Cricetulus griseus: one gene and its partner. The protein of the gene in region 1 interacts with the protein of each later gene in a pairwise test. Links are inferred from orthologs where the notes say so. Each region holds a gene or a part of one and is shown on either strand. Other genes may lie near its edges.

The links. The genes of interacting proteins can lie anywhere in the genome.
Region 2: the proteins of Ccnc (region 1) and Nmnat1 interact in binary tests that used the Homo sapiens proteins (3 or more experiments, as listed by UniProt). The two-hybrid records come from large-scale screens. The link is inferred for Cricetulus griseus from reciprocal best matches to the Homo sapiens genes CCNC and NMNAT1.

The regions. Positions count from the first base shown.
Region 1 is NC_048595.1:119,719,527-119,726,090, forward strand, and holds the start of Ccnc (cyclin-C), read right to left. Parts: upstream 4,517-6,564; 5' UTR 4,351-4,516; coding exon 4,319-4,350; intron 3,324-4,318; exon of another isoform or gene 3,189-3,323; intron 2,034-3,188; coding exon 1,927-2,033; intron 925-1,926; coding exon 840-924; intron 677-839; coding exon 607-676; intron 1-606. UniProt on the Homo sapiens protein: Component of the Mediator complex, a coactivator involved in regulated gene transcription of nearly all RNA polymerase II-dependent genes.
Region 2 is NC_048595.1:6,906,758-6,912,699, forward strand, and holds part of Nmnat1 (nicotinamide/nicotinic acid mononucleotide adenylyltransferase 1), read left to right. Parts: intron 1-3,506; coding exon 3,507-3,674; intron 3,675-5,067; coding exon 5,068-5,251; intron 5,252-5,942.

The sequences.
Region 1 (6,564 bases):
CATAGAAGTGCTGCATGTCTAAAGGGAAAGGCATCCCGGCAATCAGGAGCCAAGGCATTCTACAAAGTCACGCTGCACAACAAACCTCACACAAGAGATTTATTGGGAGGGAAGGAAAACCCAGGAGGGTGGCTGCCTCTGCTTGGATGAGAAGCAGTAGGGAACTGAGTAGAAGGCAGGCTTTATATAGGGTTTCTTGGTGAGCAGAGAATTCCAGGGTAGTATGGAATTGGTGGGATTTTTGTGGCCTGATTTTGTGCAAGCTCAGGGACTGGTGGATTCTTTTTCTTAATCTTGGTCTCAGGTTATTTAAGAGTCAAGGTGTTCTCTCCCTGGCTCTGGTCTCAGATCAAGTCAAGGTCAAGGCCCTTTTACCCTATTGCTATATACTCTACAGTTATAGGATTAAACAAAAACTTATAGTCTCATTAAAGCATCTGATACATAGTAAGTGCCATATTTATTAAATATATAAAATTACTTGCAAGATGTATGTATTATCTTGTATAAATTACCCCTTAAGATTATCCATACAAAGGCAATATAAAAAAAGATTAACTGTACATAATATTATAGGTTGATGAAGAGCAAAAAATTGTTTTATACCTCTACTTTGGATGCCAGAAACACACATGTAGGAGCCATTAATACAGGATCTATACTTTTCAGAGAATACCTAAAACATGATTAGACAAGAGTTAAATTATGTCCATTTAGAAGACACACTGGGTAATCAGGCAATCATAATTCTATAGCAATCAAGTGACTTACTTATATATGGCATATGGAAATCAGAAGAGAACCTCAAACAGGCTAACAAAAAAATAAAACAGCCATACCTGGCATAGAACCTCTTGAAATAGACTGTAGCAGTAGCAATAACCTGTTGTCTTAATTTAAGATGTTCACCTAATGCTTGGATGACTAAAAGGGAAATAATAAAATTTTAATGTTTCACCTGGCACCATTATAGTAACATTAATAACATTAACTTTTAACAGTAATTTCTACATGTTAGAATTATGTCCACTCATAGCTAGGCACTCTCTGACACCCTCTGATCCACAGCTGCCTAAGACTTGCAAATATAGCAACATGCAAAACCAAGAAATAGAAACCACCTACAAGTTATCTTGCTATAAGGAAGTTGACTATCAAATATTCCTTTTAATACTTTTCAGATTATTTTCATAAAAAGTCCTAACTCTTGCAGAAGACCCAAGTTCCATTCCCAGCACCCACATGGTGGCTCACAATCATTTGTAACTCCAGTCCCTAGGGATCCAAGCCTCCTTGTCACTATATAACATATAGTGCACAGATACACATGCAGGCAAAATACCCATACATAAAAAAAAATAAAATTTATTTTAAAAAATACCAGGCAACAAAGCTATCCCAGCAGAGTAAAGGTCTCCTGACTAAACCCCCTTCTTTTTTTTTTGTTTTTTGTTTTTTGTTTTTTGTTTTTAGAGACAGGGTTTCTTTATGGCTTTGGAGGCTGTCCTGGAACTAGCTCTTATAGACCATACTGGTCTTGAACTCACAGAGATCCACCTGCCTCTGCCTCCCAAGTTCTGGGATTAAAGGCATTCACCACCACCACCCCGATTTAAACCCCCTTCTTCCTAATGTAAAATTATAAGGTAAAAATGACAACTACAGGATGCCAATTTAAAGAATTACTTATTTTTACTTTGTCTTAACCAACCTTAAAAGAGGCCGCACTAGAAATACCCAAGGACATTAGCTAACACTGTGCTTCCAACACATAAAGTGCAAAAAGTGTTACCAAGCACACTAAAACGATAAATGTATAAATAAGAACATTAACTATAGACTGCAATAATCCATTGAAAATTACCACAAACAAGTCTCAAAGGTGACCAGCTATACTATACTACTTCAACCAACTTAAAATTGTACCATTTGTAAAAAATATTTGTAACTTCCAATACTCTTCTTCTGAGAGAAATTTTAAGTCCTTCTGGCGCTCTTTCAACAGATCTTGTTTATCCAAAATCCACTGCAAACTGGAAAAAGTAAAGAAGATAATAAAACACAGTGTAGAACGCCAACAAGCAAAAGCACCTAAAACTTTTTAAGATTTAACAAGCTGATCTATTCTAAGAAGTACATTCCTTTTTTTCTCCTCTGAGACAGGGTTTCTCTTGTAGTCATGGCTGTCCTGGAACTCACTTCTGTAGACCAGGCTGGCTTCACATTCAGAGATCCACCTGCCAACAACACCTCACCCCCATCACTGCTAGGTTTAAAGGCATGTGGTAACATACCCAGCTTCTTCTTCTTTGGAGGTACATCCGTAAAAGACAATGTCTGGATAGAAATATATCAGAGGTAGACAAAGCACTAGCCTATCTCTGAAATACACACACACACACACACACACACACACACACACACACACACACTCACTCACACACACACACACACACACACACACACACACACACACACACACACACTCTTAGCATTAATTCTTCTAAATAGGTCTCTAAAATATTGAGTAAATTATATAAAACAATGAAAATCTTGAGTCCTTCAACACATGTTCACCCATTTTAAGCAGATTCTGCCTCAGAGGAAAATAAATATTTTTCTAATGAGATTTTTTTTTTCAACCAGAATTTTCACTATCATCCCTCAAGTTTCACAGTCTTGTCGACAAACCAATTTAATCCCTTTGGTTCTTGACACTACTTGTTGACTGTTTTGCTGACTATCTTCAAATAATTCTGTGTCAGTTTGCTGTGTTTGACTCTCATTCAGTCTGGTCACTAAATAAGGATGTCATTTTAAACTCTCAGGGGAGTCACTCATATGATTTCTCTAGCTTTTCAGCAGCTCACCTACAGTCTCAGCAGGAAAAAATAGGAGAACTTGAGGGCAAAGAATTGGCTTTAATCCCAGCACTCTGGAGACAGAGGCAGGCGGATCTCTGTGAGTTAGAGACAAGTCTTGTCTACAAGAGCTAGTTCCAGGACTTGGGCGCGCGCGGGGGGGGGGGGGGGAGGATATGTCTCTTGATGTTTTTCAAAGGCTCTCTACTTTTTTCCAGACTTCTTTCATACTGTCATTTGTACAAAGAGCCAGCACACTGGTTCTCGAAACCCTTGATACAAAGGCCCTTCCTCAAAGATAGATTCTTACTATACCCAAAGACTTACTGTCTGTTCCAGTATTACGTCACTGAGACAGACGATGAAGGCAGTCCAAGTGCCAGAATTACAGGCTCCAACTTAATTCCGCCTTTTTGAGTCATCTCCTTCTGTATTTCAACTTCATCTAAAACATCTCAGTGACTGTAAACAACCAGAAATACTATGTCGCATAGTGATGCTCCACGAGCAGCTCATCTCCCTAAAATCACTTTGTAGCAAGAGAAAACATGCTTTCCAGAAACAGGTTTACAAACTCACTGTTTCCTTCTTCCCCGTTCTTGGGGTAAAGAGGAAAAGGAGCCAATCCAATTCACAGAACTAAAATTTCGTTAGTTTCTTCACCCTAAGATTTACTTAAGCTACGATGTCTTGTATTAAGTCCCGTTCAGTTTTTAAGTATTCAGTGAAAAACCTGCTCAAAGCTTAGCCAGATCACACAACCTCGCTGCACGTTTAACCAATGCATTTAGAGAGAAATGTCTCAAATATTACTTTAGCCCTTCCATGACCACTGACAGGCAGGCACCCGAATTCACTCATTTAAATGGTTCAAGGAATAGATAAAACCTGAGAAATACACACTTTTAACGCAAAACAGAAGACACTGGCTAATGAATGAAAATGCATACATGTTGAGAGCAACTGCGCTCTCTATATTCTAGGGGCATAAACGTCTACTGAGAAGCCGGGAAGTGGTGGCGCACGACTCAGGAGGAAGAGGCAGGGGCAAACAAACCAACAAACCAAAAACCGGATCGACAATCTAGGCAATATTAGATCTGCAAGTAAGGCGAATGACAAGAGATTGTAACGTCTTTGCTCTCAACAAGACCTAGCAAAAGCAACCCATACCCGTCCGAACAGGCTACAACGTGCCTGTGCCCACATCATCCCACTCACAGCTAACCCCCAAATACAAACTGAAACAGCCTCAGTCTTCCGTCGGACACCTGTCCTCTCGCCCATCCTTCAGGCTCACCCAGCCCCCGAGGCTCCGAGGCCCGCCAACAAGCTCGCCTAGCTTCCCCGGGAGGGCTCGCCCACACTCCAAGATCCGCAGGCCCTAGGGAGTCGCAGGCCCAGTCCTCCCCGGGCCCCAGAACCAGTCCCGCGGGAGCAAACGGAAGCTCACTCACTAGTGGGAGCTCTGCCAGAAGTTCCCTGCCATGGAATACTGCGGGCCCTGATACAAAAGCACCAGCCAGCAGAGCGGCCCACGGAGCCACCATAGACCCAGTCCAGCCGGGCGCGCTCCTCAACCAGGCTGGCTGGGCTGAGCTCCGCAGCGACCGCCGCCGGAGGAAGAGAACAGCGCCGTCGTCGCCTAGACGCCGGTCCGCAACACGGAATTGCGTACACCGGTTCCGGATGACAAAAGTTCCGGCCCGCCTTAGCGCCGGAGAAAGCGAGCAGACAGACACGAGAGAGGCCGGAGGCCGGAGACCGGAACTAGAGCAAGCAGAGGCGGAAGCTCGCGGTGGAGAGCCGCTCTCCCGAGAGCTCCGCCCTAGAGCAGGCACCTTCTGGATTTCTGCTGCTTTGCAGTTTTTCTTCTGGATCCGTCTAGGCATCTTGCTAACCCACCTAGAATAGTACTGTGGCATTGTAAGAAAGCGTAACATATGTGTGATTGCTCGTTTTCCTAGCATTGGAAGGAGAAATAGATTTAAGCGCTCTTAGTGACTTCTGCCGGAGCTGAGCCTAACGAGTTAATGGGTTTTCGTGTGGACATTTTAGAATAGCAGCAATCTTTTAATGTCAGAGCCATCGTTTGTCCACCTGAAAACATATGGGCGTATGAATACACATCTAGCCACACGGATGCACATGCATGCCCCAAAATTGAAATACTACAGAAATGCAATAATTTAGTTTTACAGAACGAGCAATAGCGAGTTTCTATTATTGTAACATGCACTCAGTACCTCACTTCAGTGGCTGAGGCAGGGACAGTAGGAATTTCAGGTCAGTCCTTGTTTCCTGCCTCCAGAATGCCAGGATTAAAGGCGTGTGCCACCATGCCGGGGCCTACTCTTAGCTTCTATTACATAAGAAAGCCTAAATTACAGTACAGATGAAAAAGAACTTGGTTTTAGTTAACACGGTGCTGTCTTGATATGAGAAAGAACTTCTCTGTCTGACCACTAGCTCCTGATACATAAAACAGTTATCTCTGCAGTGACCGATGATTGTGTTGATTTACAGTACTAGTTCATACAGTTTGGGGGGAATTTCAGGGTTCACTTTTTGGATTCAGTTAGTTGGGAATGGCTGTTGAAGAACAAAATATGTATCAATAAAAAATGTTAGGAGAGGCTAGACAGATGGCTCAGAAGTTGAGTGTGTTTGTGGCTCTGTCAGAAGACTAGAGTTAGTTCCCAGCACACACATCAGGTGGCTTATAACCACCTGCTGCAATGGCCAGCCCCAGGGGATCAACAATTTCTAGCCGCCATGGGTAGCTGCATGTACTGTGCATGTCTACACACACACACACACACACACACACACACACCTTTAAATTTTATTTTTAATTGAAATTTAATTATATTACATCATTTCTCTCCTTCCTCTTCCCCCTCCTTGAGTGGATTGACAGTCTGGTTAGTTCCGACCCCTATGTAGTATGGGGGTCAGGGGTCTAAGCATAACCAGCAATCCTGGCCAGTTTCTAACTGGGATTAACTTGAGAGGTGGGACTCTGGCCCAGGTATGTTAAATGCTTTTGAAGGGGAGAGGTGGTTGGAGCCTTAGCCCACGAAGGAGATCTTTGTTGAGACCCAAAGTTCTGGGAGCCTGGGGGGCGGGCAGTTTTTTTCTGGATAGTAATTCTATATCCAGAGTCCTTTCCTGTGGCATAGAGTCATCAGGTTCTCCCTATTTCCCAAAGCCGGAATATTTAAGGAATTCTTTAGACCTTTATCTTATGGCCATTAGATTACATTTTCCTATTGTGCATTCCTTGGAGGGGGGCGTCGTGTGTGTGTGTGTGTGTGTGTGTGTGTGTGTGTGTGTGTGTGTGTGTGAGTGTGTGTGTGAGTGTGTGTGTGTGTGTGTGTGTGTGTTTGTGTTTATCGGTTTGTTTTCAGGAAGCCTCTGTTTTACAATCCCAATTATTTATTTATTTTTATATATTTGAATTACAAACAAGATTGAATTACATGACGATCCCAGTTCCCTTCTCCCTCCCTTCCTCCTCTACCACCCCACCCCCAACTAAAATCCTACCTGTCATATGTCCTTTCTTCTAATCTACACCTGACTCAAAATTTCTGCTTCCTTGTGACCTCTGCATCCTTCCTTTTCTTCCCTTCTCACTCTCGTAGCTTCCTCCCCCCTCTTCCCATGTTCTCAATTTGCTCAGGGCACAATCCCAATTTTT
Region 2 (5,942 bases), about 110 Mb from region 1:
ATAACAGCTGCAGCAGCTTCAGAACAAGGTGAGGGGTCAGGCTGAAAGTTACAACAGCGCGTCCTTTCAGAGGGTGGTGGTGAGAGGCGGTCTGGCCAGGCAGGTCGTTTAACTGTGGGCCAGCATGGCTTTAGACTGAGCATCCGGAAATGGGACAAGGAGAGCCAGCAGAGTCACAGTGGTCTTTGAAACAGTGGTAGCTGTGAGTTAATGCTTCCATCATGATATCTTTAAAACTCAAAAGATGGGTGATTTAGAAGTAAATTTTAGTTGGATCTGAAGACTGCCCCAGGAAGCAATGAACCTTTGACACAGTGTGCTGGGGAGGAACACTTACAGCCTGAGCCGATGGGACCTCGGCAGCCAGCAGTGCAGGTGATAGGCTGTGTGGACCAAACAAAAGTGAATCATGGCGACACTGGTCCGGCAGCATTCAGAACAGTTCTGTCTGAGACTCCACACCCAATGTTACCGCCATGTTGGACAGGTCACGATGTAGGAGCTCACTGTAACTTAACCCTCTGTGGCTTGGAGAGTCTAGCTAAGGTGGCTGAGTTGGTAAAGCCGGGATGGATATATGAGACAGGTCACCAATGTGATAAAGGACAAAGACTGCCTCCTGTACTCTGAGGGATCAGCTTCCACCAGCCTCCTCATTCCCCAGGGGAAGGAAACCTGAGGTCCTCCTAGAGCACTGGGGCTGGGAGCATTTTGATTCATCTCGGTTTCTAGAGCCCAGGCGACCCCTTGACTCCCTCCACCCCATGTAGTCAGCCTTCCTTCCACTCTGCTCTCCTTTGGGCATGGTGTCTAGAACATGTCTTGGGCGTGCCCAGGGCTAGTATATACTCCAGTTCCCTAGGCCACAGTTCTATGAAGATGCTGCCTTTTTTTGAGACAGAGTCTCCTGTATCCCAGGCTGTCCTTGAACTTCTGTATGTGTACACGTGGAAGCCAGCATCAGTATCTGGTGTCATCCTCAATAGCTGCTCAGTTTACCTTTTGAAATAGGTCTCACACAAAACTTAGAGCCTGTTGATTGAACTACACTGGCTGGCTCTGTTTCTCCAGGGCTGGGGTTAGAGGTGTGTACTGCCAACCCAGTGCACACCCGTGTGTGAGTTCGTGCATGTGTGTGAGTGGGTGCGTGTGCTTATGCATGAGAGAGAGAGAGAGAGAGAGAGAGAGAGAGAGAGAGAGAGAGAGTGTGTGCTTGTTTTTTCAAGAGCTTTATAAATTACCTTTTTTTTTCTATGCAGGCAATTGAACACCTCATAAATGTTAGGCAAGTGTTCTGTTACTTAGCTATGTCCTTGTAGCTGGAATTTCTTTCCAGCCTAGTCCCACAGCCCCAAATAAGCACACAGAGATGTATTAATTATAAACTGTTTGGCCAATGGCTCAGACTTCTTATTTGCTAGCTCTCTGTTATTAACCCATTTCTATTCATCTAAGTATTTCCACGTGGTTTTTTTTTACCAGAGAAGGGTCCAGACCTGTTACTCCTTCCTTGGCTACATGGTGCCTCCTTGCGGCCTCTGTCTGCCTCCTCTTCCCCAGCATTCTCCTTGTCTGGTAGCCCCACCTATACTTCCTGCCTGGCTACTGGCCAATCAGTGTTTTATTCATCAACCAATAAGATAAACATATATACAGAAAGACATCCCCATCAGATCCCCAGCCCTGTGAATTACTTTAATAAAATTATAAAACCCGAAGTGACATCCATCAGTAAATATTCATTTCTCCTTGTGACTCAGGACCACCTGAGGGTTTGCTGACCATGTGCCTCTGGTATTTCCTGGGTCTGTTGTGGGAATGAGCATCTTGGCTGTGGCTTAGCCGGCCTCTGATGGCTGCAATCACCAGCCCTGGGGTGGCTGGGATACAGCTGTCATACCACAGCAATCTAGCATGGTAGATCCTCTGAGATGGTTTAGGTGTTGTCTGAGTATTTCTTCAGAAGTCCACATGCTGAAAGCTTGGTGTCCAGTGTGGCTGAGGTCGTTCCTTCCAGAGAGGTGCCTAGCAGAAGGCAAGTCATGAGGGTGAAGTGGTTTTCAGAAGAACAGGTTTTTGTTTAGTTTTTTTGGTTGGTTGGTATTTCTTTTGAGACAGGGTATCTATGTGTAGTTGTGACTGTCTTAGGATTTGCTCTGTAAATCAGGCAACCTCAGAGATCCACCTGCCTTTGCCTCCCGAGTGCTGGGATTAGAGGTGTGTGCCACCACCTCTCGGCCTAATTATTCTTAATAATAAAAACTCTTGAGCCCGGCAGTGGTGGCTCACACCTTTGATCCCAGCACTCGGGAGGCAGGAGCAGATGGATCTCTGTGAGTTGAGGCCAGTCTGGACTACAGATCAAGTTCCAGGACAGCCAAGGCTATTACACAGAGAAATAATATCTCAAAAAAACAAGAAAAAACAACAACAAAAAACAACTTGGAGTCAGCTTTCGGGGGTGAAAGCTGAAAGATCAGAGAAGCAGAGCGGCCAACCACTAGAGAGTTCTTACCACTACCAGTGCTCAGACCAAAAGGGCAATCCTGTCTCTACAAATGCTCAGATTGCCCAAACTCCTGTCTCCTCCTGCCTTATATTCCTCTCTCTGCCCAGCCATATTGCTCCTAGTTCTACCTCCTTAGTGCTAGGATTAAAGAAGTGTCACTCCTAGTGCTGAGATCACCTTTGTATGAGTTCTGTTTCTCTTTTAGGCAAATTCAGTGTCGTGTAGCCCAGGGTGGCCTTGAACTCACAGAGATCTGTCTGCCTCTGTCTCCCCGAGTGCTGGGATTAAAGGTATGTGCCACCACACCTGGCCCCTATGGCTAACTCGTGGTTTAGCTCTGCACTCTGATCTTCAGGCAATCTTTATTTTTTATAGCCGAAATAAAATATCACCTCAGGACTGGTTCACTTTCTCTTTTTCCACCATGCTGTGATGCAGCCAGGATACTGATGCTAATTTCTTAGGCCTTTAGAATCTCTTTTCTTTAAAATGTACCCAGCCTTAGCCAGTCATGGTAGCATACATGTAATCCCAGCACTTGGAATGTGAAGGCAAGAGGATCAGAAGTTCAAAGGTATCCTTCACTACATACCACTTTTAGGCCAACCTGGGCTATGGAGCCTTGTCACTGTCTCCCCCTGTGTCCCTCTCCCACACGCTGGAATTAGAGACATGCTAGCCTCTAGCGTGTTGTTATATGTTACTATAACACCAGAAAACTCTGTGACTATAATTTCTTCCAAGTGCTAGGCTCAGAACTAATATGCTATCCTTTCAGCCATAATCATTTGAGCAAAGTGAATCATAAGGAATAGAGACTTATATCCCATTCCACTTGGTAGGAACTGCACACACATAAGCAAAGGCTGAAAGCGAAGCCAGTTTTGCAGTTCATCTCAGTCAGTGAAGCCAAGTATTTTGCCCACCTGTTTGCAGGGAGAACATGGGCAGATGTCAAGAGAATTATAAATGAGCTTGTTTCCTTTTTCCTCTGTAGACAGCAGTGGAGTCAGAGGTTTCCATTTAGATCACCAACTCCAGCTTCTCCCCATGGACACATCCGAGAAAACAGAAGTGGTTCTCCTGGCCTGTGGTTCTTTTAACCCCATCACCAACATGCACCTCAGGCTGTTTGAGCTGGGCAAGGACTACATGAATGCAACAGGTAGGAGCAGTAACCCAGGTAACTTAGGGCTAGAGACAAAGCTGGGCAGTGGTGATGGTGCACGCCTTTAACACTAGCACTCAGGAGGCAAAGGCAGGTGGATCTCTGAGAGCTGAAGCCAGACTGGTCTACAGAGCAAGTTCTAGGACAGCCAGGGCTACAACAGAGAAACCCTGCCTTCAAAATACAAAAAACAAATGAAACAAAACAAAACAAAAAAAGACTAGAGATGCACTTGACTGAGTGTGAACGCCTTATTCTGGACACAAGCAAGTTGTTCTGTTTCCTGGTATAGAGATTTAGCCAAAAGCTAATGGAGCCAGTAAGGTGGCTCCTCAGGGAAAAGTGCTTGTTGCAAAGTATGTGGCAAGAAGGTACAACTAAAGCTGGGTGTGGTGTTGCATGTCCTTAATCTCTGTGAGTTCCATACCAGCGTGGTCTGCATAGCAAGTTCCTGGACAGCCAGGACTACACAGAGAGACCCTGTCTCAGGGGAAGAAAGAGAAAGAGAAAGAGGAGGTGTGCATGGATCAGAAGATGGCGGGGCTGAGCAGACACTGTCAGGGGAGTGCTTGATTGGTGTTGTCAAGCCCCTAGGTGAGGAAGGACAATCCCTGCATCTGTTCTAGGTGAACAATGCAAATTGAGTCAGGCTCTTAACAAAGAATTCAGCACTTCTGGTTGGAATTCTGACCAACAAGAATTTTAAGTGTAAGCTGTGTGGGTGAACCCAGAGTGAGTGTGTTAGGGGTGTAGGGCTTTAGTTGGAGAAGGTGAAATTTGTGAAGGTTGTTAACAGTGTGCATGTGCTCAACATTTAGGATTGTACAGTTAAAATACTTCAAATGATAACTTTTGTAATATGTTATTACAGGTTCTTTTCTACATTAAAAACTCTATTTACTTACATGGGGTCAGTGCGGTATTGTGTGTGACAGGGTGTGGATGAGGAGGAGGTCAGTTGGAGAAGTCTGGTCTCTCCTTTCACCATGAGTGTCCTGAGGATTGAACTCTGATCATCAGTCTGACAGCACACTCCTTTATCAATGGAGCCGTCTTGCCAAACCCTTACCACAGTTTCAATTTAGCTACTAAATTTGACTCTTTGTTTAAAAAGGAGGAGTGGCTGGGCGGTGGTGGCACATGCCTTTAATCCCAGCACTCAGGAGGTAGAGACAGGCGGATCTCTGTGAGTTCGAGACCAGCTTGGTCTATAAGAGCTAGTTCCAGGACAGCCTTCAAAGACACAGAGAAACCTTGTCTCGAAAAACCAAAAAAAAAAAAAAAAAAAGGGGAGGGGGAGGGATTGTAACTAGGAGCTAATAAATTGTTATAATTTCTGCCCATAAAATCTGATTTGTTATCCCTCATATCAACCCAACTGTGTATCCAGGAAAATACAGGGTTATCAAAGGCATAATTTCTCCTGTTGGCGATGCGTACAAGAAGAAAGGGCTCATCCCTGCCCACCACCGAATCATCATGGCAGAACTTGCCACCAAGAACTCGCACTGGCTGGAAGTGGACACATGGGAAAGTCTCCAGAAGGAGTGGGTGGAGACTGTGAAGGTGCTCAGGTAACAGTGGCACAGTCTATACTGTTGGTTCTAGGGATCCTTCCCATTGCCATGTATTTTTTTCAGTTCCGCCTGCTCTGATTGACAGGTCTGTATCAGTTAGTGTCCTGTTGCTGTGAAGAGAAGCCATGACCAATGCTTATGAAAGAAAGCATTTACCTGGGGGCTGGTGTACAGTTTCAGAGGCTTAGTCCATTATCATCCCGACAGGGAGCCCCGTGGCACATAGTGTGCCCGACCTGAAGGAACAGTAGCTGAGAGCTTGGTCTGATTAGCAGACCAAGAGAGGCACCCAGGCCTTGGCATAGGCCTTTGAAATATTAGAGCCCACTCCCCAGAGGCACACTTCCTCTCCAAAGGCCACACCTTCTAACCATTCTAATCCTTTCAAATAGTGCCAGTCCCTAGTGACTAAGCATTTGGATATATGAGCCTGTGGGGGCCACTCTTACTCAAACCACCACAGAGGGCTGCACCTTCCTGCACCACAGGCTGTTGAGCACAGCAGCAGAGCTCAGACACACCTGAGCCCATGTGTCTTTCAGCATGAGGTGAGATGTTGACAAGGTTGTTCGTCAGACATGTCTCTGTCAGAAAATAAAGGAAGCAAACCTGGCCTTCCTGTCTGATGGGAGAAAGACAGAGTTCCTCAAGGATAGTGCAGTCATCTGTCTTTTTCTTTTTTTTTTTT